2 linked regions of the Cricetulus griseus genome follow. The protein of the gene in region 1 purifies or fractionates together with the protein of each later gene. This does not show direct contact. Links are inferred from orthologs where the notes say so. Each region holds a gene or a part of one and is shown on either strand. Other genes may lie near its edges.

What was found.
Region 2: the proteins of Pus10 (region 1) and Abitram purify together in Homo sapiens (affinity purification with mass spectrometry; 3 studies listed by BioGRID and IntAct, counting the BioPlex papers as one, with this or other methods). This does not show direct contact. The link is inferred for Cricetulus griseus from reciprocal best matches to the Homo sapiens genes PUS10 and ABITRAM.

Annotation. Positions count from the first base shown.
Region 1 is NW_023276807.1:83,094,986-83,110,136, forward strand, and holds part of Pus10 (tRNA pseudouridine synthase Pus10), read right to left. Parts: intron 14,034-15,151; 5' UTR 14,019-14,033; coding exon 13,893-14,018; intron 9,511-13,892; coding exon 9,262-9,510; intron 8,761-9,261; coding exon 8,674-8,760; intron 1-8,673. UniProt on the Homo sapiens protein: Protein with different functions depending on its subcellular location: involved in miRNA processing in the nucleus and acts as a tRNA pseudouridylate synthase in the cytoplasm.
Region 2 is NC_048595.1:87,073,049-87,088,783, reverse strand, and holds Abitram (protein Abitram), read left to right. Parts: upstream 1-1,366; 5' UTR 1,367-1,396; coding exon 1,397-1,511; intron 1,512-2,782; coding exon 2,783-2,834; intron 2,835-3,276; coding exon 3,277-3,406; intron 3,407-4,668; coding exon 4,669-4,745; intron 4,746-4,841; coding exon 4,842-4,911; intron 4,912-4,997; coding exon 4,998-5,132; 3' UTR 5,133-5,619; downstream 5,620-15,735. Other genes in the region: Ctnnal1 (alpha-catulin), read right to left, coding at 10,681-10,740, 10,868-10,951, 11,482-11,595, 12,166-12,222, 14,104-14,152, 15,511-15,665. UniProt on the Homo sapiens protein: Actin-binding protein that regulates actin polymerization, filopodia dynamics and increases the branching of proximal dendrites of developing neurons.

The sequences.
Region 1 (15,151 bases):
TATAAATGACACATTATGAAAATACCACTTCACTAAATAACAAAAACAATTTGAGATGGGATAGGGGATGGGAGCATGAGGATTCGAGATGGCTGAGCTGAGGGAGGGACGGAGACAGAGAGTAGGGAAAGAAGTATCTTGGTAGAGGGAGACATTATGGGGCTGAAAAGAAACCTGGTGCTAGGAAGCTCCTGGGAACCTACAAGGCTGACCCCAGCTAAGACTCCCAGCAATAGTGGAGAGGGAGCTTGAACTGGCCTTCCCCTATAATCAGATTAGTAACCACCCTAATTGTCATCATAGAACCCACACCCAGTAACTGATGGGAGCAGATGGAGTGATCCACAGCCAAGCACTGGGCTGAGCTCCTGGAGTTCAGTTAAAGAGAGGTAGGAAGGATTATATGAGCAAGGGGGAGGGTGTCAAGATCATGACTGGAGAAAACCATAGAGACAGCTGACCCAAGCTAGTGGGAGCTCACAGACTATGGACTGATAACTGGGATCCTGCATGGGACCGAACTAAGCCCTCTGAATGTGGGTGACAGTTATGTAGCTTGATCTGTTGGGGGGGGGGCAAGGTGGCAGTAGAATCAGGACTTGTCCCGAGTACATGAACTGGCTTTTTGGAACCCATTTCCTACGGTGGGATACCTTGCTCAGACTTGTTGCCGGGGGGAGGGGTTTGGTCCTGCCTCAACTTGTCATGCTAGACAAAATTTTTTGACTCCCCAGGAAGGGAGGCCTTGCCCTCTCTGAGGAGTGGATAGGGGTGGGTGGGATGGGTGGAGGTGGGGGGCAGGAGAAGGGAGGGTGGGGAAATGGGGTTGGTATGTAAAATGAAAAAAAATTTTTAATTAAAAAAATTTTTTGAGAAGTTAAGAAAAGGTCATTCACATGGAGCCAAGATAACCACGTAAAGCAAAATACACATAAATTTACAAGATGAAGAGATAATGTGACTTTAAAAACTTTTTTAAAGGAGTGGAAAAACATTCAAATTCCACTAAACATGACATGGGATGTTACATAACCTCTATTAGCATTCGTTTTTCTTCTTCAAATGGGAATGAGATGGCTACACACATGGCCACTACCCTTAAGGATGAGGAAAAAATTACCTTCTTGCTAACCCACACATTACAGACACATTAAACTTGAAGAAGGCCACTGAGATGGCTCAACAGGTAAAGACACTTACCTCTAAGCTTGATGACCAGAATCCAATCCTTAGGACCCATAGGTAGAAGGAGAGAACTGACTCCTAAAGTTGTCTTCTGACCAGCACATATATACCTTGGCATACACACATGTACACATACATATGTACATTCAAACACAATAAATTAATAAATGCAATACTAATTTAGAAAAAAACTTGGCTAGATGGCTTGGCAGGTAAAGGTGCTTGCTGTGTAAGCCTGGCAAAGTGAGATGGATCCCTGGAACCTGTGGATATATATTATTTATGATTTAGTAAAGCCACTGGAGATCAAAATGCAAAAAGTTAGCCACAGCAATAGAGAGTCACCTTTAATTCCAGCAGCCATTCTAGTTAGTCATAGAAACTAGGCAGTGGTGGCCACACCTTTAATCCCAGGTCTCCAGGAGACAGAGGCAGATGGATCTCTGTGAGTTCAAGGCCCCCTGAGCTACATGAGAGTGAATCAGTCTAAAGAGTAACAGAGCTCACACCTTTAATCCCAGCACAAGGGAGTGGAGACAGGAGGGTGAAGAAAGGAATATAAAGCAGGAGGAGACAGGAACTCAGGGATTGCGGTCTGCATTGTACTCTGAGGACTTGTGGAGACAGTATCACCCATTTTGGTCTGAGGTAGAGGTAAGAGCTAGTAGTTGGCTGCGCTGCTTTTCTGGTCTTCAGTGGCTTCATTAAATCATAAACAATATATCACCACAGGAACCCATACTCGCTGTGGCATGAGCTCCCTCCCCCAACACAGCTCACATATACACACATGGTGACAACTTTTAAATGGTGGCAATCACCATATACAGAAAGGTGGGGAATGCACAGACTCTCTTCCAGACATTCTCAACAGGTATGAATGCGTGTGCACCTAGAGAGAGAGTCTGAGATAAATCACAGAACATGACTAACATCTTCTAAAATAAATGCCATTAGAAGCTAAGAAGCCCTGTTCTAGATGACTAGCAAAGTTCCTAAAGACCTATAAGTCCATAACTCTTTTACTATTACTATATTTTATTTTGTGTGTGTCTACATGTGTGTACATGGGCATTTGTGCATGCCATGGTGTGCATGTTGAGGTCAAAGGACAATCTGTGAGCACTGGTTCTCTCCCTTCCTCCATGCAGGTCCCAGAGACTGAACTCAGGTCTTTGGGCATGGGGACAGGTGTTAACTTGATGAGTCACCCTCCTGGCTTCTCTATGACTCTTAACAGTGCAAAGCTATATGTGTTGGTATACCTACAGAGGCAAGCTCTTGGAATTACATTGTATAGGAAGATGGATTTGGATAGCTGCACGAATGTATTTGTGTGCTATGAAGGACTTTTCAAGTTGTAGCCTGGGACAGGAAAGATGGTCCAGTGGACAAGGGCAGAATGAGTTCAGATCTCCTGTACCTACTTAAGAGGCCACCTGTGGCTGCATATGAATATGTAATCCCAGTTCTGTGGGGTGTGAGGACAGGAGGCTGTCACCCTAGCCTTACATACAATGGGAGGACTGTCTCAAGGCACTAACTAGGGCAGGAACACCAGACCTCCTCTGGCTTCTGAGTGCACTCACAGCTGTGCGAAAGTGGCCGTCAGTCAAGTGCTCACCACTACCAAAGCTAAGGACTTGATTTTGATCCCCATGTAATGCTGGCATGCAGCGGTGACAGATGGATTCCAGGAGCTCTGGCCAGCCAGCCAGCTTAGCCAAACTGGCAAAGCCCAGCCCAGGTCAGTCAGACACCTTGTCTCGTGCTCCTGAAGAACTCCAAGGTTGACCTCTGGCTCTACACACACACACACACTGCAGCCTGTGAACTTTAAATCCCTGGACCACAGATCTTGCAGAGATCGAAGTAAGTTCTAACCAATTAACTGAACCAAAAGTAGAGTCACTGATGCTAAAACCAACTGTAAACTGCCTTTCTGAGCTCTGAAAGAGCTGCAAACTAAAATGGACCTTGGGTGTGTCATATGTCTAGAAGGGATGTCTGCCATACAAATTATAAGTTGAAAAAGCATGGAAAATGGAGAGAAAGAAAAAATCTAACTGCTGAGTCAGAAGACAGTCAATTCAAGCCCACACACACATTACAATCTTAAATGATTGGTTCTCTATGTTTGAAGTTGGAACTATGAACTAAACATAATTAGGAAAACCACTGTCCTTTAGAATAAGTATGGACATTTGCAAAGGGGAAAGTTTTATTGAAGAATCCAACTCAGAAAAGTCCTAGATCTGTAAATATACACAAAACTGAGTATGCATTCTCTTTTCCCTTTCTTTGATTTAATATAGGGCATCACTACATCACCCTAGAAAGTACTGGCCTCACAATCCTGTCAGCCTTCTCAGTGATTCTTGTGAATTGCACTATGCCAGGTGAGTCTGTGCATTCTTAGGACAAAGGGTTTCAAATTTTTCTTCAGATCCTAAATGAGACCAATGGGTCCAACATAATAAGGAACCCACAAATTTAAGTAAAGCCAACTTTAAAAGATATTCAGCCAGGTGTTGGCTGGCCCACGCCTTTAGTCCCAGCACTCGGGAGGCAGAGGCAGGCGGATCTCTGTGAGTTTGAGGCCAGCCTGGTCTCCAGAGTGAGTGCCAGGATAGGCTCCAAAGCTACACAGAGAAACCCTGTCTCAAAAAAAAATTCATTTATAAAATTTTAAGAAAAGATAATTTCTTAAGTAAAAAAGTGCTGCTACAGAATTGGTATTTAGTGCAAAGCATGAAGAAAAGAAATAGAATATTTTGATATGAAAAACAAAACTCCAACTGTACCATACTGCATATTGAGAAGCAGGGTGTTTCATATGATCAGAATAACATTTATGAGACAGCATAATTCATTTAACCAGGTCACTAGGGTGAGCAATGGGAAATGAACCAAACTGGTGGTATAATACCGCCCTCTGCTGGACTCAACTGGTAAAGATAAACCTCAAAGAATTAGCAAGACAAGTTTAGCCTGACACTACTCTGGGGCATTCTTCCATTAGCAACTTCAGTGTAGTGCTAATGGTGTGCAGAAGCCAACCATGAATGCAGGACAACAGCAGCAGCAAAAATCCGGGGGATTAAGGCTCACATCACAGGAAGGAACCCTATACAGTGCTGCAGGACCAAGACAAACACTTGTTATTGAGGTCACAGGCTACAATGGGGAGTTGTTACTGTTTCATTAAACAGATGTGAGGTATCAACTGATTTCCAAACATTTGTGTTTATACCCAAAGACTGCTGCTGCACTCAGCCTCAATAATGAAAGGAAATTTCTCTTTTGGAAGATGGTTATTGCAGCAACTCAATAGTCAAATGTCTGAGAATAATTGTCTACTGCTGTGGCAATGTGACCCAAGGCTCAGCCAGAAAAACAGAACAATAATCACACATTTACATTGTTCCTCCCCACCAAGGCCTGGGAACATCATAGAGGATGGGGCAGAGGGTGTAAAAGCCAGCAGGAAGAGGAGACTATTGTGTAGCCATTTCCTCTAGATTGAAACATTCTCTCACAAAAGGGACAGACACTTTTGAGGCTCATGTTCAAGCCTAACAACAATACTTGAGCTCTAGGACTTGCATTTTAAGGAAAGAACTGACTCCTGCAAGCTGTCCTGACTTCCACAGGCACATCACACCTGTGACATAGGACACACACACACACACACACACACACACACACACACACACACACACACACACACACCCCTGTGACATACACTATACAACAGGTTCCAAAGCTACAGAGAAACCCTGTCTCGAAAAACCAAAAAGAAAGAAAAGAAAAGGAAGAAAGAAAAAGAGGAAAAGAAACAGTAAACTAACAACACTCAGGAAGCTCACAAAAGTTACAAGACTCATGAGGTTCCCCAGGAGAGACCAGATAAACAGCAAACAAGTTCAGGAAGACAAGAGACACTCAGCTGGGTGCAGGTTGTATAGGGACTCCATGATGCAGCTTTCATGAGTCACCATTCTTGCTGAGGTAGCCTTTTCAGACACAGCTGCCTGAGTCACCTATAAGTAATCCCAGTAAACTTCCTGGCTCACCAAGCTCACTGGCTGGAATCATTAATCATTGCCTTTTTATCTGAACTGAAAAGATGTAGATTTACCAGGAGAGGTAATGCAACAGTATTAATATAGCTGAAAAAAGGCTTTTCTTTCCTTCTTCATACCTGCCAGGTGGTCACGGGCCCTCGGTTTAATCCGTGTTAGAAAACTTATCCTCTCTAAATCTTTTGGGATGAGAATTACCTCCATCCTGAGTCTACCTTCTGAATATGGACCAGCCATAAACCCATCTTTGTTTCTTCTCAAGCAGAAATCTAAGAACAGGAGCATTAAGCAAACACAACTGTCCCCTTTTCATCACAGTTGGGCTAAGATCCAAACATTATCTACATTGTATCCCACTTTGTATCATCCAATTAGCTCATTGTCTCTTTAACCAGTTCTCACCTACATTCCTGAGATGTCTCTGTCAACATGTAAGTCATTCCTTTAGTTGGCAGTTGCATTTAAACTCAATCATAAGAACCCATATTTATTCTTATTATCTCCTCTTTTTTGACTGCTCTTGTTCATAAGCTTTTGTGAGGTAACTATAACATTCAGCATGTGGGCTGCACTCTCAGCCCTGTGCCATGTAGCTCACAGTGAGGGTTCTCACCACACCTTCACTACAAGAAACCATTCAGAGAGAGTGGGAAAGAGTCCTGATGCACATCGAGACTCTCCCTGAACCTCAGTGACACTTGTGTTCCCAGGTGCAGGTGTCAGCAAAGGGCTTCCTCATCTTACCTTTGGAGATTAGGATTTGGGAGGAGAGAAAGTTAAGGCCCAGCAATTATTCTCAACGTCTTTCCTGAGTGGAGTGGTATGTGGCTGACCTTCGGGCCATGCTTAGGAGCACTGCCCACCTTAGCACAAGTCATTCATTCAGCTTCTTTTGGATACAGATAGTCCAGCCAATCACATCTAGGCCCTGCCTGTTTTCCAGCCACTTTTAGGAAGTTATGAGAAAGAAGAGTGGTCCATCAGCCAGCAGGTACTGCTGCCACCATGTTCTACCTTGTTCTGTGTTGTTCTTGCTCCGGCTTAGTGCCCACAGTTCACCCCTGGAGCTCCTAGTCCAGAATCTTACCGAGGTTTGCAATAAGCTCACCAGCTGTTCATTTTCAGAATTATTCACTTTGTCTGCAACCGCTTGGGAAGAGCCGCCTTCTAGAATCCCAGAGGATCACGGGTGGCTGCAGGCTGCTTTAAATCTATCTTGAAATGCAATTTATTAAGCCAGAATGCTTGAACACACTTAGGAAAGCTTCACTTTGTGCAGCCTTCATTTTCCCTAAAATGATCATTCAACTTCTTGCTTTTGAGAAAGATCACATTTCCCTGACAGAAAGGCCAGAAGCAAAGTAGGGGTTTTAGAACTCGGCTTTCTCTCCACCATCCATCTGCAGTGTATGAGCCTTCCAAACAGGCCTGTCCCCTATCCCCTGACCTACACAGATCTCCCTTAGCAATTCTTGCAAGCTTCATTCACTGGATGGGCCAGTTTTCTGGTTGCTATTCTAACAGATCGAAGCCTCCTCCTTAAATCTGCATTAATGTGACTCTGTCATTTTTGGTTTTTTGTTTTGTTTTGGTTTTTTTGTAACTGATCTCAACTTTGCAAAATAAAACTTGATTGTTCAGTTTGAGCAATCAAGCTACTCACAATATTTTTCTTTAGTTTCATAAAAGAAAAAAAAATGCCTCTTCTCCCTCCTCTACCTCTCAACAGGATCTTACTATATAACCTAAGACGAATTCCTGATCCCCTAGTCTCAGGCATACACCTCATTTCTCATTTTTACTCTTTCTAAGTTACTATTTCTTGAGGCATACTTTTCCCATGTTGTCCAGTCTGGCCTCAAGCTCATAGCAGCCACCCTGCCTCAGCTTCCCAAGTGATGCATTTACAGGCATAAATTACCATACTTAGCTTCCCAATTCTTTATGGGGATTTTTCTCTAAACTTTCTTTTATTGATTAGAATAGTTTGGTTTGGATTAAAATCTGAATTTTTGCTTTCTCTGAACTTCCTAAGATTTATAACTTATCTTTTAGCCCAGATGCTTATGCCAGTTTTTTCTTGCATTGTTTGAAATTCACCTATCCAAAATGTATATCCCATGTCCTTCTCCCCACCTCTCAAGAACATAATTCTTTTTTTTTTCTTAATTCTTAATTTTGAGCTGGCAAGATGGTTCAGCAGGTAAAGGCACCTGTTGAGTTCAATACCTAAGACCCACATGACAGAAAGACAAAATCAATTACTGCAAGTTGTCTTGACTTCTACACCTGTATACACACACACACACACACACACACACACACACACACTAAAAAATGTACACACACACACTAAAAAATGTAAAATGTAAAAAAAAATTAAGAGTATTAATTTTTCAAGCTGTAGTCTTTGTAACAATAGCACCAGTGAATATGGTTACAATGCAAATTCCTAGACCTCACCTGACTGAATACATATAAATCTGTGGAATAGTTCTTGGAAAATCCACCAGGTTGGGCTCAAATTCCTGACAACCCTTCTATCTCCGCCTCCTGAATACTGGGATTAGGAACAGAAGCCACTATGCCTAGCTATAAATAAATCTTATGCATGTTAAAAAGTTTAAGAACATTGTGGTTTGAAAGAAAATGACTTCCATAGGGAGTGGCTCTATAAGGAGGTGTGGCCTTGGAGTAGATGTGGCTTTGTTGGAGGAAGTGTGTCACTAAGGGGGTAAGCTTTGAGGTTTCCTGTGCTCAAGCTACTCTCAGTGACACGGTTGCTTCTGCTGCCTTCAGATCAAGATGTAGGACTCTCAGCTCCTTCTCCAGCACCATGTGTGCCTGTAAGCTTCCATGTCCCTCCATGATGATAATGGACTAAACCTCTAGAACTGTAAGTGAGCTACCACTATTAAATGGTTTTCTTTTAAGAGTTGCCATGGTAATGATGTTTCTTCACAGCATTAGAAACCCTAACCAGGATCTAGGAGAAGAAACTTAAAATTTGAAAGTTCTCAAATTATGTACTTTTAGCTCAATGGTATTTTTGTCAACCCAGCTTCTTAGACTGTGGATGGCAACCACATCTGGGGTCACATAACTGAAGGTGGAGGGGTTGCAAGAAAAAAAAAATTGAGAACAAAAATTCATTCAAAACCAACTGTGTAAGGCATTTCTGGCCATGCTTGCTCATGTGCCATCATGCAACTCTTCTGCAACCTCGGTCTGTACACACAGCCTGCCCAGGATGGCCTCAAACTCCTCACCATCCAACTTTCAGACCAAGTGCTGAGATTACAAGTGTGAGCCTCTATTCCCAATTTTGCTTGTTTTTGGTTTAGAAGTTAGAAATGCACAGCATATATTTCACACATGCTCTGAAGTATGCAAATGGCCTTACCTCTCTCACAGACAGCTGTGGTGGGAAGGAAACCGATAAAACCATGCTGGTGAATTCAAACCCAGAGGCTTCAACCTTTTGACACACCTAAAAGAGAATTACAAATATGTAAACTTCCAAGCATTGCTGAAAATGTAGCTCTAATCATAAAATTCCTCCCAGGAGATGACATTGCACAACTCCCCAATATTCACCTAGGAGCTGGGGGCTAAGGCTCAGTAGTGCTGTGTTGCCTAGCTCATGTCAAGCCACTCTCTAGCACCGCCCAAAACAAAGGCAAACAAACAAAACTGATCCATTTGAGCGGACCACTCTTCATAGACATCCTGACATCAGCATTTGATAGTTCTCACCCTACACAAGTGTCAGCTTCAGAACAGTTTGTTGCATGTCAGACAGCTCTTATTAATTTCACAATATGTGATATGACAATCTCAGAATACTTGGTCTTTTCTAATTAAGAAGAGACCAGCAATCAACTGGTATAGGCCAAGTTGAAATGGATGGTACTGTTTAGGACTCGTGGGTATAGGAATCCTAGCTCTCAGGTTAACACGGTCTCTGATCTATGAGAGACAGATTGTTTACCTTTGCTACAAACTCTTTCTCGCAGAACTCTTGAAGGATTCCTAAGCAAACATTGCATACACGCAAATCTGAAGCCTCAGAGGCAATGATTTCATCTTCTGTGGCAGAGCTCCCCTCTTCTCCATTTCCACTCAAATTATCCATTCCGTCTTCTTGAAGACGAATTTTCTTCAGTGGTGGGTTTGGAAGCTCCAAAATTAACTCATCTTTTTCAGTTTCTAGAAATTTCTGTAGATCATTGAACAACTCCTGAAAAGTTAAGAAAAAGCAGTAACATTTTAAAATGGCTTTGAGGTTCATAAGATGAAGTGTGAAAGTCAGCCAGGTGGCAATATGTGTCTTCTTTTTTTAAATTCACAGTGAATGACCTTCCCAAAAGAACTACAAGCCAGATTTGTAAATTGTTGATGGAAACTTTCTACTTAAGATTAGGATTTTAGCTTCACTGATTTGTGAAAATCTTTTGGAAAAACATACACATGTAAAGTAGGCATTTGATTGGTATGTGGATTAAATTCATTAATAATAAATTCAGTCATCAGTAACACATAAGAGATCTGCCTACCTTTGAGCACTGGGATTAAAGGCATATACTGCCCCACCTGGCAATGCCTGTCCTGGGTCCCAGCCCTCTGGTCCCACTAGAGCACTTAGAGGCCATGGCAGCAGAACCTTGTGAGTTCAAGCACCCAGGGCTACATAGTGAGGCCCTGTCTCAAAACAAGGTATAGAGAGGATTATAACAGCACAGACTCATACAACATTGGTTTATATCACTTCAGGAGTAACCAGTTTATTACAGCAGTGGCTTTCTAAGAAATCTGAGAAAATAACCTGTGGAGACGCATTGTGATAGAAATATTTCTAACATTCTAAGAGACTGAAACTTTTGTTGGAACTCAGTCAAAGTTGATAGGGTACCTTGAAGTCACTTCAGACCGCTGTCCTACTGTGTGGCCAGACTATCTGTTTAACCTGTTTTTAGGGGAACAACCAACAACCAACCTCATTTGCCTTGGCTTTCCCAAGTAATCCTCTATAACATAAGCTAATGTGCTCTCTCATACCCTTGACCTAAGAGTAATGCACACGTGTTTGCATGTGTATGATAATCATCTGCTAAAAAATGGCAAATAAGCTAAAAACAGCCTTATAAAATGAATGTCCACCATAAATGCTGAAAGCAACATTCAGCTACTACCTGCTAGTGTTTGCTATCTGGGTCAGTTGGAATTAACTCCTTATAAAATTGTTAAGTATTTCTGTAAAGTATTACTCATTCCTTCTCCATGTGATGATTTCTATGCTGTTCAATAAAAGTAGTAGTTAGAGAGATGGTTCAGTGGTAAGGAACATGTACTATTCTTCCAGAGGACCACTTCAGGTGGCTCACAACTGTGTAACTCCAGCCCCAGGGAATCCAATGCATCTGGCCTCCACAGGCACCCACACACATGGCATACATTTACACACACACAAACACACACACACACACACACACACACACACACACACACACACACACACACAATTAAAAATAAAATTTAAAATATATTTTAAAAAATAAAAGAGAACAAAGCCCTTTGTTAGGAACAAATACACAAGGACAGACACAGATATAGGGATAATAAATTTACAAGACAGCTTTTGGGTGGGTACAAATTCTGGCTCACACGCGAGAGAGACAGAGAATGACAAAGACACAATGAGAACAAAGTAGAGAATTCAAATCTGGGCTCCCTCTTGGTTAAATGACACCAAGGAGAAGAGCTTTGATTTCTGTCCTTAATGCAACACTAATGTGTTCCTGGTGACTTTGAATTTATTACTAACGCATTTAATCCATACACTAATCAAATGCCAATTATATATATTACATATGTGAGTGTTTTTTGAAAAGAATTTCACAAAACAGTGAAGCTAAAACTCTAATCTTAAGCAGAAAGTTTCCATCAACAAATTTACAAATGTGGCTTGTAGTTCTATTGGGAAGGTCATTCCGCTACTAATTTTTAAAAAAAAAGAAACTAATTCAATTCTAATTATTAAAACATAAAAATATAAACTAGGATGCAGATGCAGCTTAGTGGTGGAATCCCTGCTTAGTGTGCATGAAGCCCTGGGTTCCAGCTCCAACAACAAAGAGACAGACAGACAGACAGATACACGCACACAGGAAAGTACAAGCTAAGTTATTTAACACCTCACAGCACAGTGAATTAGTTAATGTGAAACCGCATCATTTAAAGGTTGAGCAAGTAAAGACACTTTTTGAGACCGTTTACCAAAATACATAGATTTGGCAGTGCTAAAATTTAGCACCACAATTATAATCCATTTATATCCATTAAGCCCTCTTCTATATTTTTTCTCTAATTTCTGTTAATTCCTTGTATTAGAATGTAAAAACAAGCCTCCCTTTAAAAAACACTCCAACACTTCTGCTACTCCCCCATCTAAAGCTAAGAATTTTTCTTGGACTTTTTCCAAATCAGGCCAGTTTGACTGTTCAGTTGTAGGATAAACTGTTTGAATTCAGTTAGACTGTACTAACTTAAGAAAATGCTTTCATTCAAACATTAAGTTCACTTTGTTGATGTATTAGCACTCCAATTTTCACAAAAAATTCACACATACAGGTATATTATGACCCACACGAGTGTTGACTACTACCTAACATCTGTAAGATGAGTATAACATAGTATGTACATGTGTGTGCTCATGTACAGCTATGTGACTGGAACAAAACAAAAGTTAAAACATTTCAAAAAAGCCTTCAAATATTTTGTTTATATTTATTCACAAAGAATATTACAAGTCAAAGTTGCCAGCAATCAGCCTCTCTCTCTCTCTCTCTCTCTCTCTTTCTCTCTCTCTCTCTCTCTCTCCAAAATGTATTTTGAATCCAGTACATATATATATATAGTGTGGCATGTGTGGAAAAAGTATATAAGGAAGACTACACAAAGCTGGACATAAGCTGAGCATTTACACACATAGCAACTTTCACTACATATGTGACACGTCTGGTTTCCATTTGCTTTTACTTTCACATACTAAACAGATCATGTCCTTAAAACCTTGTGAAGAAGATCTTATCACCATTCCCATGTACAAACAAGTAAACTGAAGCTGTGCAGTGGTGGAACTGAGAGTCAATTCACGTCTTCTAGCTCCAGTCCTAGGCTCTGGATTCAGACACAGTGTTCAATTCCTAGCTTGCTCATTTAATAGCTGTTTAACTTTGGGCAGGCTGCTTAACTTCTCTATGCTTCAGTCGCTTCATCTGAAAATAGAGATAATCACTGCATGTACTTACAGAAGATTAAATGAAATCTTGACATGTAGTAACACACTAGACAAACACTAGGAACGATTGTTATTTCTAACATAGTAGAAACAACACAATGATATAGAAAACAATAGTAATTGCTGCATCATTTATTACCAATTTTTAAAATAAATTGAGGATGTGTGTATAAATGTATATATTTACACATGTATACAATTATTTGCCTTTGAAAAGAATGTCACTGTTAGTATCAACCATATGTCACAGGCATATCCTATACTTTAATGTGAAGATAATCTATTCAACAGCACAGCTCTCTATGTGTTAATGTAAATGTGGAAAATTCTGAAAGGTTCTTGTGTTGCTAGTATCAGGAATAATGATTACGCTAAGCACTTACTTTTAAAGGCTTTCTGACACAGCCAGCTATCAAACAATATTCCTGACGATGCAGGCTGCAGGTTGTGGATGGTGGGCCCTAGATTACACTGCCTGGTACACTGCATCTTCATTTAAGTATACTCCATGAGGTTCAAACAAGCATAAAGTCATCAAAGGACACATTATCAGAACATATCCTCTTCACTGAATGAAACAAGTGGTAGGCTGGGGACATGGATCAGTGCCATGATTCACTGGCACATGTGAAGAACTGGGTTCAATGCCCAGCACCAGAAGAATACATATGAACATATACACATAAATGCTAATGCATGGCAAGGGAAATAACCAAGACAAGCAACACGGCCTGTTGCGTAAAAGCACTTGGCACACAAGCCTACTAACCTGCTTGATTTCCCAAGGTCTTTGGTGGAAGGAGAGAACTAACTTCCACATAAACATCTGTGTGAGCAAGCAGACATACACACACGCACACACACACACACTGGCGTGCACATATACACCATACTCATATATATGCACATACTCATAAAAATAATATAAAATTTAATTTAAAAAAAGGAACCAAACTCATTTTCTATTTAAAAGAAGCAACCAGGACTATGACCTGCCCCCTCCTGTTGCACAGCATTAATGTCAGGTAAGACCCATTCATTATCTTGTGTTATTTTGTTTATATGACCTTTATAAAATGTCTATACAAATAATGAATATAGCAAAAAATTCCAGCAAAGATCCCGCTCTACACTAACTATTAAATGGCAATGTAATAAAAAACAACTGTATTACTACATCAAATGTTTAAGGTAACTGCAGTTCCAAAATTACCTTAGTAAGAATAGTTTTATTAATTTTCCTTCTTTCGACCACTATACCCAAAGCTAGTGTCATTCATTATAACTATAAAAAGACATTCCTTAATTTAAAAAGAAAATACCTTGGATGGGCGTTTGTAAGGTCCATGAAGATCCACACCACAGAATCTGAAGATACATCTCGGACAGGTACCAGAACTGAACAACAACCGGGCCACATGCTTGTTTTCTTCAGTCAGTGGAAACATACTGAGAAATTATAGCTAGAAGGAAGAAAGACAAAACGAGCAGTTTCAGTATTTTACTGCTACAAATATGCCCTTAAGAAGAAAAACTAGCTTTCATTCTAAAAAATTCTATTAATACTCTGCAACAATGCTTGTTGTATTTATATTCTAAACTACAAACTTGACTATGTGAGTTGTAGGGGAGAAGAACACAGAAAGCCAAGCTCATTCTGGACATGATAGTAAGACCTTTCAGACACCAAGCCTGGGGACCACTCACAGTTGCCTGTGTAAACCTTCAAGAAAGTGCTTTAAAAAAAAAAAATCACAAAATTCTGTGTGGTCAAGTATTTATTTCAGTATCTGAATCACTTCTACCAGCTCACTTAACCTGCTGCTTTAATGTCAAGTAAAGACTGAAAAGAATTACATAAAATGCATCCTCTTGCCAGGTGTGGTGGCTCACACTTGTAATTTCAGTACACAAGAGGCTGAGTTCAAGACCAACCTGGGCTTAATGGGGAGTTAAAGCCAGCCTGGTCTACAGAGTGAGGGTTTGGAGAGAAAGGGAGAAACAGAGAAAGAGAGAGGGGAGAGGAAAGGTAAGGAGAGAAGAGGGGGGAGGGAGAATCCCCTAACAGAAAAAAAATTCTGTGGAATAATCCTTTCGTACATTGTGAGATGTGTTGCTCTCATTGTTAATAAAAAAATGATTGGCTGATGGGTAGGCAGGATTCTCGAGTTAGAGAGAATGCTGGGGAGAAAAAGGGCAGAGTTGGAGGACAGAAAGATAGGAAGTACGGTACATAAGGTAAATGAGCCTTGAGGCAGCATACAGATTAGTAGAAATAGGTTAGTTTAAGTTACAAGAGCTAGCTAAAACAAGCCTAAGCTATCAGCTGAGCATTTATAATTAATAATAATAACAGATTAGTATAATATATAATAATAAAATGATATAATAAATAATGTCAATAATAACAGATTAATAGAAATGGGTTAATTTAAGTTATAAGAGCTAACTAAAAAACAAGCCTAAGCTATCAGCTGAGCATTTATAGTTAATAATAAGTCTCTGTGTGGTTATTTGGGAGAAGGCTGGCTGGACAGAAAAGTCCACCTACAGAGAAACTTTAGTGCTAATTAACATCAAG
Region 2 (15,735 bases), on another chromosome or scaffold:
CACATATGTGCTAAGGGTCCTACGGTACAACACTGAGCATGTCCTAATATTATGATCATTGTTTCATTTTTCTCCTCCTTGCTCTTCTACCCTTCTTCAGGCTAATCATCCTGAATAGGACACATAATATGTAGCTAACTAAGAAGAAGATTAAATAAACCTGTACACATAGCTGTAACTGAACAAGTCCAAACTGAAAATCAAACTCATTATCTCCTGATGTTTTCATAAACAGGTCCTTAGAAGCACATGAAATGCAACCTGAAAAACAGAGAACCTGCTACTCTTTTACCAAAAAACAGCTCACCCTGGTTTGAAAATTACTGTCACCTGTTTCCACAAGCTAAAACTGTCTGCCTCTTTTTCACTCACTTTCACATTGAGGCATTCACTGGTTATCATCGCAGCTCTCAATATACAAACGAATCCTTTATACAATACCTACGATCCGTTATGTGACTTGCGTCACAAATTGCAAAATGTCACCCGCCCCCCCCCACCCCGCGAAGACAAAAGACTACACAATCACTGCCACCACAGAAATCACCGCTTAGGCATGCCAAGCAAGTAAGCACGGGATACACTACTCCACAGAAAAGCCTCAGATTCGATAAAGGGCCCTCAGCACGGCACTGCAGCCTCGGTTATCTATCCCCTTCCATGGCGGCCTAACCAATTCCTGATAGAGGTTTTATTTCCAAGCTGCAAGAAATCCCGCCGCAGGGGGACCCGACCCTCATCCCCGAGCTGTGCCCCAGGATGGCCTGAGGGAACAAGTGTGCAGAAAGCATCCGAAACTCGAGAGAGGCGGGCCACGCCGCCCAGCCAGCACGCACAGGCAGAAGCGCATGGATCTATCTCCCTTGCACAAGGATCGTCCTGGACAGGCAGGACCAGGCCGCGCGCAGCGGCTCGTACTGGCTCCGGCGAACGCTCACCTGAGATGCCCTCGCGGGACTACACCCTCGTCTCAGTCCGCGGCTCCGAGCTCTCACGACGCACTAGGCTTGGGACGGAACCGCCAATGTGCTCGGGAGACACAGACACGAACCACGGATGGGCCAAACCCACGGTCTAGCACAAGAAAGGCGGCGCTAGGCGTGGCGTCACCAGCTAGGCGCGTCGGCGTGACGTCATCACGTAGGCCGAGCTCACCTCTTTAGTAGCTCTCAGGAGCTTAATCTGGCAGTCCAGAAGTAGTGGGGTCGTGCTGTGTGCTGCCTGCTGTCCGTCAGCCCTCTGGCTCCCGGTTGTATTTGTCCCACTGTTGAGTGTTGGCCCCACAGTGCCTGAGACTGGGGTGGAGGCGGGTGGGGAGGAGAGAGTCTGGCGAGCTGCGCGCCTGCGCATAGAGCTACCACGCGGCAAGTACATCTTTCTGGCCTGGACCGGCAGAATGGAAGAGCTCGGGTACCCAGAGGCGGGGTTGACGGGGCCAGAGGTAGCCGTGGCTACCGAGCCCGCGGCGCCCTCCCTTGTGGATCGATACTTCACTCGCTGGTATAAAGCGGGTAAGTGCGAATGATAGTGAGCTTTGCCCTACCGCGTGGACGGGATGCCGTGGAGACTCCTGCTCCACGATGTAATCGTCCATGCTCTTCTCCGAGCTTCCTAGTTCCAGGAATACAGGTTTGCACTGTTGGAGAACTAAAATGGTCGCATCCGATGTGGGAAGCACAGTGCCATGTGTGGGTTGCTTGCAGGAAAGGACATAAGCTAAACTAAGGAACCCGGCGTTGGTCTTTCTGAGCTTACACTGCCTAGTGTTTGTGTGCCTGTGGGGATCAATCCTAGGCCGAGGCGGGAAGAAAGTTTAGGCTGGAGAGAACATTAACAGAAGTTAAGCAAGCAATATTTAGTGTTAAGATCTTATTTTCCACTTGTAGTTTCGAAGTAAGCTACCCAGGTGTTCTGTTTTTGTATGCCCAGAAAATATCGATGCCACCTTTGGGAATTCTTCTCCAACCTTCCTCTATTTTAGCCTTTTTATTTCAAGCAAACTGATGGATGGACAACACACCAACAGATAAAGACTGGGCCAAATTTAGGATAAGCAGCTCTCCTCAGGACTGAATTTTCCCCAAATGTGATTTTGCATAACTCCAAGACAGCCCTTGAGGCTGGAGAGATGGCTCAGCCTTTAAGAGCACTGACAGTTCTTCCAGAGGACCTGGATTGAATTCCCAGCATCCATATGGCAGGTTCCCACTGCCTGTAACCAGTTCCAGGGGGATACAACAGCCTCACATAGACAAATATGCAGGCAAAACACCAATGCACATAAAATAAAAATAAATAAACCATTTTTTTAAAAAAAGCCCCACCGGGCATTGGTGGCACAAGCATTTCATCCCAGCACTTGGGAGGCAAAGGAAGGAGGATCTCTCTGAATTCGAGGCCAGCCTGGTCTATAGAGCAAGTGCCAGGATAGGCAGCAAAGCTACACAGTGAAACACTGTCTCGAAAAACCAAAATAAATAAATAAAGCCCTCCAAAACAACAAAACAATGTAAGCAATGTGGTGCTTACAATAGTGTTTCTCTAATAGAAACAATTGGTATATTCGTTTTAAAGTGACAAGATGGAGGAGTTAATAACCTTACCATAGAATAAATGATTCTATCTGGATTAGGCTACTTAAGCACCCCGTAGCCTTTATTTGACTACTGTCATCAGCATGAGTCTTAGCCTCATAATGAACTATCTCCATGAACCAAAGAAGGTAATCACATGATAATAGCAGATACCAATTCAAGAACCAACAATTCATTTGTTCCTCTAGATGTCAAAGGAAAACCCAGTGAGGACCACTGTATACTACAACACTCCAACCGGTAAGCAAACCAAGAATTTAAATTATCAACACTTTCTTCTGGTGGTTACTCTTGGGCTGGATATAAGCAATTGTCTTCTGCTGTGTTGATATAGGAGTGTGATGGCAAGTACAAGTCTTGTTCAGTCATTTACTAATTTAGCCAACTTGTGCCAACCATTGAAGTGCCAAAACCTATGGAATAGGTTTGTCATGCCTTGTCTCCCACCTACCCCAGGGTTATCGTAAGACCTGTGGTACTGTTCCTTTTCCCAGGAAGGAAATTCAATCCTATTTTCTCCTGTTCCCTTATTATATTCCTCATGCTACAATTACAGTCAAGAGAAAGAAATAATAATTGGACTGAATGAAGGTCAGTTGGATAGTCATCTCTCAATGAGAATACTGTTATAGGAGGAAGTCTCCACATGCAGTAACAGAATTGCCTTTTTTCCTCCTTGTAGAATATGTGTCATCACGCTGGCAGGATCTCACCCCGTTCTTCAAAGTGGCAAAACTATTAAAAGTATTTCCTATCAGATCAGTACCAACTGTAGCAGACTTCAGAACAAAGTATCTGGGAAATTTAAGCGGGTATGTCCCTGTAGAGAGAGAGAGAGAGAGAGAGAGAGAGAGAGAGAGAGAGAGAGAGAGAGAGAAGAAGAAGAAGAAGAAGAAGAAAAGGTACTCAGGAGGTATAATGTCTATTATAGTAGATTCTGTGCTCTCATTCTTTCCTAAAGAGATAAGATGGAATATGAGCCTTTACCTGGTATCCCAGCTCTTGGGTAGCTGAGGTAGCACAATCGGAAGAATGAGCTCTATACTATATAGATATATAGTAAGTACCAGCTGGATAAGGCTATATAACAAAACTCCTCAAAACAAGAAAGGATCTTGGCTCCAACAGCCTATGTTCACTTTAGGAAAAGTTGGTAAAAAGAGGGCATTAAGCACTCTCATTTGCCTGCTTATAGATAGTTGTCACACCCCTGATTCACCCACCTTCCAGAGCATCTAATACAACCATATGTGCTATCAAGTAGTGTACTAAAATATGGCACAAATGGTTAAAAGGCATGTATTTAAGTTAGCTTTGTAGGGTTTATTTAAACATATTGTTTTTATTTTTATTCATGTGTATGTGTATGGGAGCCTTCAGAGGTAGAAAGAGCTTGTCAAATCCCCTAGAACTGAAGTAAAGATAGTTGTGAGCTACCAGATGTGGGTGCTGGGAACTGAACCTGGTTCTTCTTCAAGGGCAGGGAATAGTCTTAGCTTCTACGCTATCTCCCCAGCCCACTAGTTTTATCTTTTAGTTAGAAAAGTACTCCTTCAAAAAGTCTTGTGGAGTGGTTGACCCTGTAAGGAAGTTCCTTTACCTACTAATTTCTAATATAACAGATAGGGATCTTTTGGATATTTTCAGGTTTTGTTTTGAGACAGGTTCTCAACTCTATAACCCTGTCTAACCTGTATGCCACTACACCCCATAGAAGATAGGGATCTTAATGAAACTATGTAGAACATTGCTGCCATATGTTGTATTGAATTTTATCTTGTAGGTTGATTGCAATTTGATTACCGTATGGGTTGAAATCTTTATACCTGGCCATATATAGATTTCTCATTTGCAATTGAAAAATACATCATTAGCCTGTAACTAAACTACCCACTAAAAGATGGTACCTAGCACATAGTAGGTTGTTACGTTGAAGTGCATGAGTAGTTTTATGCACTTAAATCATTTTTCTATAAAACACCAGTTCTAAGACTAGATCCTGTTTTAATAGTGAGGGGTGTACCAGAGGGAAATGAAAACACAGTTAATTTGCTTCTTTTATCTCATTACCCAGGGGGCACAGTTTTTAACAGAACTCGCACCTCTGTGTAAGATTCACTGCTCTGATGGAGAAGAATATACCATATCTAGGTAAGCAGTGTTTTAGCTACCGAAACACAAATGCCCGTGTTCACTATAGTAAAAAATTACTGGCAATTTTTTCTAAAAATTCTTTTTTAAAAATAGCTGTGTTAGAGGTCGATTGATGGAAGTGAATGAAAATATTCTTCATCAGCCGTCTCTTCTTCAAGAAAAGGTAAAGGAGAGGTGGGGAAAGCATGATGCTGTCCATGTGCCTTTTAGAGGTCAGTTGACAATACTAAATGTTCTGTTTCCCCCCAGCCCTCCACTGAAGGCTACATTGCAGTTGTATTGCCCAAATTTGAAGAAAGTAAAAGCATAACAGAAGGGTTACTAACACAGCAACAGTATGAAGAAGTCATAGTAAAAAGAAATAATCCTACAGCCACATCATGAGCCCTGAGATGGAGAGACAGCAAAGGATTCTCACCCTGCTTGGCCTCAACCGTCAGTTCACTGAAGAAAGCAAGTGTATGTGAAGTATTCCTCACACATGGCCACAGGAGAAGCCTAATCCTTCATCTAACCTAATTCCCCTCCTTTGTCTTAACATCACAAGCCTTGGTCCCCATTTGTAGTCAAGCTCTAGGATCTACTTTGCCTAGGTACTTGCTTTGGGTGTTTGCTTGCATATGTACATCAGAAAACAACTTTGAGTTTTTACCTTTTGTTAGACATGCTCTCATTGGCTTAGAACTTTGCCATGAAGTTCCAGGGAGACACCCATCACCTCTGCCTCCCATCTTGCAAGGCTAGTATTACAAGTACACACACCATACCCAGCTTTTATATGGGCCAGAAACCCCAAACTCAGGTCTTCATGTGTTCAAGGTGTATTACTTTTCAGTGTCTGTGATTGATAAAATACCATAACCAAAAGCAACTTCAACAAGTGTTTATTTGGGTTGTAGTTCTAGAATACTAGATGTCCACCCTAGTAGGAAGGAATGGTATCAAGAGCAGGACGCTGAGAGATCACATCTCCACCATACACAAAAAGCAGAAAGTAAACTGGAAGTAGGGTAAGGTTATTAACTGCCCCTAGTCATGTAATTCCCCAGCAAGACTTCTTGTACTAAAAGTTCTGCAACCTGGGGACCAACTGCTCAAATACATAAAGACTTTTTTTTTTAAATCAATCTTCATTCTTCTCATGATCCCTATAAGCCCATAGCCATGTCATGCAAAATGCAATTAATCCAATATCAAAAATCACCATAGTCATTCCTTCTCTGAAGTCCAAAGTCTCTTCTAAGACTCAATGCAGTCTCTTGTGTCCCTGAGTAAATCAAAAAACCAGTTACATACTTCCAACATACAATGGCACAGAATATGCGTTCCCATTCCAAAAGGAAGGAATGATGGGCATAGTGAGGAAATACTGAACCAAAGCAAGACAGAAACCAGCAAATTCTGCAGCTGCATGTCCACTATCTACGGGTTTGGTTTCAAAGGAATTAGTTGACTGCCCCTCCAGCATTGCTGCCTGCATCATAGATATTTTTCTGCATTGTTCTGTTCTGTGTGCAACCCTCCTTGGCAAGATGTTTCACAGCTTTGGTATGTCCAGTGTCTTTGGGCCTGCACTACAACCCAGCTCCATGTGTCCTCTCATGGCCTTCTTGCAGAAACTCCATCTCTACCATATGCTGCTTGGCCTCTAGCTTCCTGAAGCAAAGAAGGAAGAATCCAGAATCCGTTCATTCTTTTATGCCTCCAAAGCTAATATCATGAGGAAAATACTTGATCATATCCACAGCAGCTCTTGTGTTATGTTGTTTCTAGGAGCAAACAGCCAGTATATTAGGCTGTCTTTCATAGATTGGAGGTTTATCTGGGTGGAGTCTTGCCTTAGCCAGCTGTCCCACTGTTCTAGTGTAGAGCAGACTTCTCTTTTTTTTTCCTTAAATATATGTGTATATATATGCATGCATGCATGCTCTATCTGGATATATGCCTGAATTCCAGAAGAGGGCATCAGATCCCATTATAGATAGTTGTGAGCCACCAAGTGGTAACACAAAAAAACACAATCAGTGACCCAGAGACAGATATGAGAGTTCAGCCTAAAGATCAGGGAAGCAAAGCAGCCAAGCTGCCAGAAAGCTCTTACCTCTAAAAGGGCTGAGGCGTTCCTATTCTCAATGTGGATGGAGAATGAATGCCTTATACTAACACCTTGCTCTTGTCTTATATACCTCCCTAATGCTGGGAATAAAGGCATGTGATCCCAGGTGCTGAGATCATCTTTGTGAGAGCTGTTTCTCTTTAGGAATGGATCAGTCTTGCATAGATCTAGGTGACCTTGGATTCACAGAGATCAGTCTACCTCTTAATCCTGAGTGTGTACTACCACCTCCTAGCTTCTGACTGCTAGGATTAAAGGTATGTGCCTGGCTTCTATGGTGTGTGGCTGACTTTGCTTCCTGAATCCTCAGGCAGGCTTTAATAAATCATAAATAATATTTCACCACACTAAGCGGTTGCCAGGAATTGAACTCAGTACCTTTGGAAGAGCCACCCATGCTCTTAGCCACTGAGCCATCTCTGCAGCCCTAGAGCAGGCTTCTTAATAGCACTAATCTCTGGTAATGACAGTCTTTCCCAGCACATGACTTCCTTGTGCTCTTTTCTCCATGTTGCACATTTTGTATTTTTGCTAGACATGTTCATTTTGTTTTTTCTTTTTCTTTCCCTTTTTATGTTGTCTTGACACAGGGTTTCTCTGTGTAGCTTTGGAGCCTGTCCTGGAACTCCTTCTGTAGACCAGGCTGGCCTCAAACTCACAGAGATCGGCCTGCCTCTGCCTCCCAAGTGCTGGGATTAAAGGCGTGTGCCTCAGCCACCTAGCTTGACATGCTCATTTCATTGGTCAAAGTTACACTATCTTAAATATCTATTGCCAGAGAAAGTAGTCCATTACTTAAATTCAGCTTCATGTCAGTTCTCAGGACTTGGGTAAAAAGTAACCAGATTCTTTGTCAAAGGGTAACAAAACTGGCATCTAGCCACTTTGCTTTGTTTCTCTCCAAAACCTAGGAGCCAGGCCTCTACTTAGGTTCAGAACAGAAAATCTTGTTTCACAATGCTCTCATTATTCAACCATTTTTCTGGCCCAGAGTTCCAGTCTTCCAAATTCTTCCAAAAAACAACATGGTCACATTTTTTTCACAGCAACAACCTCACGTCTTGGTACCAAAGTCTCTATTAATTACCTGTCTGTTGCTGTGATAAAACACCATGACCAAAGCAACTTAAGAGGTTTTCTTGGCTTGTGGTTCCAGGGGGTTAGATGTCCATGGCAGCAGGCACAAGGAGCTGAGATCAGACCACCACACACTGGAGGCACAGTGAAGTGGGAATGGATCAAGGTTATAAACTCAAAGCCTGCCCCCAGTGACATGTTTCATCCAGCAAGTCTCTACATCCTAAAGTTTGTAACAGCCCCCTACAATGCCACCAGCTAGGGACCAAGGGTTCTGAATACATGAGACCATGGGGAACATTTCTCCTTCAATCTACAACAGGAGGCACACACAAATGGCAAACAAGGAATATTTTTCTGATTAAAAACACAAGCTCTTGAGAAATATTTTGAAAAGTTTTGCATTCCTATAACCTGGGAGTAAGTAGTACCTATTAACATAGCTCCTGCTTGAATGCTATGGTACACTTACTTCTTCTGCCTCAACTTTTTTTTAATGTGTTTTCCCACATGTATGCATGTGCAGTATGTTTGTGTAATGCCTGTAGATGCCAAAAGAAGACATCAGACTCCTTGGAATTGAAATTACAGATGGTTTGTGAGCCACCATGTAGGTGCTAGGAAGTGAACCCAGGTCCCCTGGAAAGGCAGCCAATGCTATTAATCTGTAAGCCATCTCCAGCCCCTTGCCTTAATTATTTTTTAATAATTAAGTCCAGCCCTGTCCCTTCTGCTGTGGCTTTTCCCCTCTAGGTTGCTGGAGAAACAGGAATGTGGAGTCTGCCTTCTATTCTACATGGAAATGCTTTGAAAATGTACAAGGCTCTTCTAAGAAATGGAAGAATTATGCTGCAGTGTGGAGCTGGCTCCTGCTAATGCATAGTGGTGACTCTATCGTGCACGTTTTATTGACAGCTAGTTTGTAGTAATGAAGGTATGTCAGTCTGTCATGCGGAGGCATAGATGTCTTAGCACAGAGCAAGGGTTTTACATTATCTAATTAGAAAAAAAAAAACAGCTATGAAGTTCTGGTTTTAGATTAAACATTTACACTGAATTTAAAACAAAAAGACCTTAAATCATGAAACTTTGTAAAGGGCGCAACATGTAGTAACTGTCAGTCATTTCCCTGTTTTTAATGAAATAATTGTAAGTACAGCCAAGCAGAGTTTATTGAAAAGAAAGAAGTAGCTCCCTGTAACCTGGAGGGGATTAAAACTAAATTTCCTTTAAATAAAGTAGTTTTATACAGATGAAAGCCTGATTTGTAAGTTCTGTCCTCTTGTCTGTTGACATCATTTTACCCTGTTTCCTCACCACCACCCCCAGGAGCCTAATTATACTTTCGGGTGTGTAAAGGTATTCTGTAAATATTTATAAGGAAATTTTCAAAAATATTTTTTTAGTTCACAAGAGAAAGTTCTTATAACCTGAGTGACAGTGTCGGTGATGGGATGAAAATTAAGCACACAGCAACAGAGCCTCACTTAGAGTGGCAGAAAAATTCTCAGAGACTCATGCTGAGAGTCCATATCTGTTGCAAAGTTGTATCTTTCTTCACTATTTTTATTACAAGTTAAAAGAATGTTTTGTTTCACAGACTAAAAACCATGCTAGACACAAAATGGTAAGGTTGCAAGGGCACTTTTAATTTTATTACTGATCAGTATGTTCTCACCTCAATGGATCAAAATTAAACCAGTTGGTATGAATTCAGTTACTGTACATAATTTTTATTGAAGTGTACATTGCCATGTTTAATACTAATTAATAAGCCTTATTTTGTTGACCAAAATAATGACATTGTTACCACATACCTGGTGGCCCTTAACAGTTTTATTGAGGGATCTGCTTTATTGCTAAAATATTTCCACCGAAATCCAGTAAAGTTAGCATCCTGCTTCTCAGTTTAAAAAGTAGTCAGAATTTTCACTTGTATAAGTTGGTAACAATCTTATTTCACAGGAGATGGTTCCATTCAATCATGCCCTATAACAGCCATCTGCAAGATTACTCCACTGCTTTAGAATGAATGCTTGTGTTGACATCTGCAATGGTAGCTAAAGAAATACTTAGCATTCCAGCCACTATCCAGGACTATGTGGTCAGCTATGCATACTACAGCTAGAATAAAAAGCCATTTCCTCTTCTGACTTTGCTCCAGGATTCTTTGGAGTGACTTCTGTTATTTTTCCTTTCTGGAGCATGCAAGGGACAGATGTAGCCTAATAACCTTACTAGGTGAAATGCTTGTTAGAAGCAACAGTGCTAGGAAGGCTGTGACCAAGCATTTGAGGGACCCTTAGCCTGCATCAACAAGAATTGAAGAAGAGTCCACAGGTCTAAGAAAAACTCTGCATTCAACCAGGCCACTTTTTATTTTCTGCTGAAATTAGTGTTGTAGATAATCAGCTTAAATAAAAGAGTTAGGGTGCCAAAAGGGAGTATGCATTCACGGTTGCGTCTTTGGGATTCAGCTGTCGTTAAGACAGTTGAGATATTTGGTGTGTGCTGAGGAACATTCTGAACAGTGTCTACTTTAAAATTGCACTGCCATTAGAATCTTAGCAACTGCCACAGCAATGACTGTGGTTAAGCTCTCTAATCTGAGGGGAAAAAAAGAGAGATTTCAGCATTCTCTTTAGAAAACAGATGAATTTCTGAAAGAACAAAGGATCAATTGCTTTTTTAAAAGGTCAGCTGTGCCACATGATATTCCAGAGATGAACTGCAGGCTGCTCAGGTTTTACCATCCATGATATCTTTTTTCGTCACTGAGACCCACCTGTTACTTTCCACCTGGAGGAAAGGGTTAAGACAATTAGCTTGAGCTGTGCTCTGAGAACAAACTACAAAGTATTAGTGCACACACTGTTGTTTTCCATTAAGTTAGTAAGAAAAGGTTGAATACAAAAAACCATCTCACCTTCTTCAGTAACTTATAGCAAAGTGACAGGAGCTGGACCACGAGAGCCATCATGGATCTTATCTTTGTAATACACTTGTCAACCTGTGGTTACAAAGCATGCATGTCATTCTAAAAACAGTACTTCAAAAATGTTACCTATTTGGTTTTACAGTGGTGAAGTTTCTCCGTCATGGAAATCTAAGAGATCTTGAAAGGTGTAGATCAGGGTACTTTGAGGCTCCAGAACACAGCACTGACTACTTGATTTCGTGCCTATTTCATGGAACCCCAGGAAAGAGGGTTTTACTTAAGCTATGATGAACATCTCAAAACACTCTACACACTGACAGTGCACCCCCTACTTGGCAATTCTTAACACTCTGCCCAAACTCCTGAGGCAAAAACAACCAGTTAAGGACTCGGAGGTAGCTGCTCAGTGCTAGGAACTAGTCTGCAGTCTGAAATCTAATTTTGGTGACTGCCCCCCCAGGTCAGTCACAGAGCTGCTGCTTTTAGACAAGCATGAAACAGGCTTTCTGTGCACTTAGCACAAAGGGCTGGAACTAACCTGATAAGGAGATGGACGTGAAATGTTCTCAAGTGTTTCCCCAAAAACCCACCCTCTGCTTTACCTTGAGGAACACTTTATTCTGCAAAGACGTCTTAGTTATTGTCTGGAGCTGGTGGCATAGAGGAATTAGCTTGTTTATTTCCAGGAGAAGCATAAGTTTGTCATCATCTTTTAGCTGAAATGTAATTTAGGAAGTTATTGCAACCACAACAAAACTCCATCTTTTATACTTTTTTACCCTTTTAGATAGCATCTCACATGTAGCCCTGGCTGATCTGGTACTCACTATGTAGACCAGGCTGGCCTCAAACACATAGAGACCCACCACTGTCTTCATCTTTTGAGTGTTAAACCATACCTAACCTACCTCTCTCTTTTTTCCTTAGTGCTTGATTTTTTAAATACAAAACTAAGATCATGAAACAGTATTTGTTTGATAATGATGTATAATTTCCACAAATCATAAATATTTGTCATATTTTGTCTTTTGTGGTACTGCAGATAGAACCCAGGACTTTGTGCATACTAGACAAGGTCTCCCACTGGGTTAGATCCATCCCCACAAGGAATATTTATAATCACACAAAAATGTACACAATATAACAGAGTAACAAAAATGGAATAACATAACAGAATGTTCTCTGAATTTGTGCCTAGCCTAGATCTTATGTACCTTTGTGTTAGTAATAGGATTCCAGTGTTAGTATGTGAAATCACTAGCCCCGGACAGGTAGACATGCATTACCTGTTTTGAAAATGACTGTACATTTGAAGTAAGTTTTAATCCCTCTGCAGCAAAACCCTGGTAGAGAAGGAAAACAGCAATGAGATCAGTGTCTTCTGGATGGCTGGTAAATAAATATGCCCAATTATCTCACAGAGTTAGAAAATAACCCAGACATTAAGATTAGCCCCAGAGCTCCTAACTTTTTTATTGTACCATGGGAAACACCAGGGTTTAGCTGAAATCAGAAATTTTCCCAGAGCTAATCAAAATCCTCCGAGAGGCTCCTCTATACATAGAGACATCCAGTTATTCTGCAGAGCTACACAGACCTGGGACCCGCAGCCACACAATTAACAATTCCTTTCTGAAGGGATCCCTGAACCATTTCATAAGATCTCCAGTTACAGAGGGGAGTCATTTTTCTTCAGGGTGCAGCCCCTGGTCACTTGTCATAACCTCACACCTGTACACATGCTAGCAACCCCAATTAAATAGTGAGTTTAAAAAAAAAAGATGAGAGTAGGGAGGACATGACCTGAGAAGAAGGAAAGCAAGTTCCTGAGGGCGAGGAAAGAGGGTAAGAGAAAGGAATGCAGGGGGGAGAGTAAGATCAAAATGCATTGTGTACGTGTAGAAAGAAAATGGTGAAAAAATAAGCCTTTTTTTTTTTTTTTTTTGAATCCTCAAGTATAAGAGTCATGAATCCTGGAGAATGAGGTCAGGTTAGAATTCTGCTGCTTCCACCTATCCATAACCAAATTTGCTTCCAGACACTGGCTATCTGAGAGGACCAATCCAGACTGTTAGATTTTGTTCAAATTTTCAGATTTTGTTTGTTCACCTTGCATTTTACAATTAAGAGAACAGGACTAGGGAGAGGAGCTAAAACCTAGGCCAGACAAGTTTGAGTAATAGTCAGGGCACATTAAAATGAAGAACACATGAGACACTTTAAAACTTCGCCTCAGGGGCTGCAGAGATGGCTCGGCTGGAAAGAGCACTTGCTATCCTTTCAGTTCCCAGCACCGAGCTACCCACAACCACCTGTCATTTCAGCTCTGGGAAACCTGACACCCTCTTCTGGCCTCTGAGGACAGCTGCACAGTGGCATTCAGACACATTTGTGCACACATGCACTCATGTACAAGTGCATACAAATAACAATAATAAACCTTTTTACAATGCTACCATAGCAGTAAGGGATGAGGGCAGATGTACCTGACAACAGTAATAAGGCAAAGATCAGAATAATTTAGGAAGAAAAATAGTCCTGGTAGTTAACTAGGTAAAGAATATGGAAAGAGAAAGGGTGAACTTTGACCTTCTAGTCACCAGCTTACTACCTTGCCATTGCTGGTTAACATGATTTCAAGGTGAAATAGCTCCCTTTGCACTTTTTCCAGCCCTGGAAGGGGAACCAGCAGCTTTCTGTTAGCTTCGGTGGGCACTGAATGATTTACTTCCCTACATCCCTCATTATTCCACACTCTCACAGTTCTCACAACGCTGCTGTGTCTGTCTCACTGAGTGTCACAGTTGTAAAAGCACATTAAAGCCAAGAACTCCCCAAACTCTGTCCAACCTGACATTGACCTTTGCCTTCAACATGATGCTTGATTTCCTGCTTCTCAGCCCTGAGTGGACTCCCCAGCATCACACTTGAAAACAAAAGAACAGTAAGGTTCTGCAGAGATGCCATGCCTGCCACCACTTCACTGTGGCTCAGCACCACCTCTGCACGGCCTCCTGAATCTTTCCTGTGCATCTGGTATCACCGCCATTGCACTCGTTCCGCCTGTGAAATGTTCTCACCCCACATACCCTTCCAACTCTCCCTTCAATAGCGAGCCTACTCAGAAGGCACCTTAGAGAAGTCTTTCCAAGCACCCCCACCACCTTTCTCTCTTTATCCTACATGATCTTATCTCTCTGAGTACTTGGGAAAACAAAACATACCTCTAGAAAGTGAATTAAGTCGTGCGACGTTTTCAGTGGCCCCTCTCCTCTAAAATAGAAGTTATTAGAAGACAAATATTACCTGTACATTGGTTTATGTAACATTTATGTTTTAGAGCATTCTGTATATTAGCAGAATTCAATTTTTTAAAGGAAAACATGAACACACTGATAATATTGTGACTTTTTCTTGAAATAACTATTATTTACTAAGTTAAAATTATATATGTTAATTTCATAACATAAAAAAAACTGAAAGTGGACAGTTAATTAGTGCTCTTTGTCCTTTTTATTTTGCTTCATGAATAAATACATGATATCTGGTAATATGTCTGAACCAAAATACATTTCTTATGCAATCAAAAGAGCAGACCAAAAGCCACTAAGTCCACAGGTCAAATGTCAGCCCTGGCAGGAACTCATCTACAGCTTCAATGAAGCATATATAAAATTCCAGTTCTAGATATAGAAAATAATCATAGTACAACTTGTGTTGACAAGTTTTATCAAGGAGTTTAAAAGCTACCAGTAATTAAGAACAATGAACAAAATGAAAGTAAATTCCAGCAGAATTCATTAGAGGGTGATGGTCGAGGCACAAATCAGAGGATGAGCACTCCAGTAGCAATGCCTGCACTTAACAGGTATGAGGGCCAGTAAATCCTTCCTGATCTGATGAAATGCTGAGAGGGGCAACCCGAGCCGTGACACAAACCCATATTAAAGTTATAAAGAACTGACAATTTTGAAAAAACATTGAAAGTTACTAGATATCTTCAATATTTATTAAGAACTGTGAATTGTTATATAGAAATCATTATTAATAGATTATATAAATGATTACAATGATTTCAAACAATAGCCTGAGGAAGGGCTATAGACATGCCCAGGAAAACTACAAATCTCTTCAAGACTGAAGGCTAGCAACTGGGCTTGCAAGGAGTACCTAGATTAGCTTGGTAAAGCATGGGACTTAAGGGAAATGGAAGAGACAGTTGAGGAAACGTGCAGACACTGCAGTAAAGTAACAACATGTGCTTTGACCACAAGGAGATAATTACATTATAGAGACCTGCCTAAGTGAACAAGTCATTATACATTCGTGTGCTACAGGAATTCTGTTTTCCTGAACCTTATTCTTTCTGTCCCAAAACCTTATATCCTAGCCCACAGAGCTTCAGCCAGCCTCTGACCCTCCATGGAGTTGTCCCTCATACTTCCCAATCTTTTCTCACCTTTAAAAAAATCTATTTATTCATGGTTCATGCCTGTAGTCCCAGTTCTCAGCAGCCTGAGATAGGAAGATTACTGCAAGTTCCAACCCAATGTGGTCTATAGTGAGAGACCCTGTCTTATAACTACCTGAATAAGCAAATATGTAAACTAACCAAAATGTCACCGCCTTACCTAGTAAATAAATACAGCGAATAGGCCATCCTGGACATGTTCCGTCCGTGTCGAGCGATCTCGTTCTCTTGATCCTCCCACTTCTCAAGTTCACAGTCAGTATCGGAGGTGAGCAAAGCCAGCTTCAGCCCCAGCTTTGCTATCTTGGCCTGCTCCTGCAAACACACTCAATCACAGGTCTGTCCTTGGAAGGGAGACTTCACAACTCTGTCGTTATTGATGTAA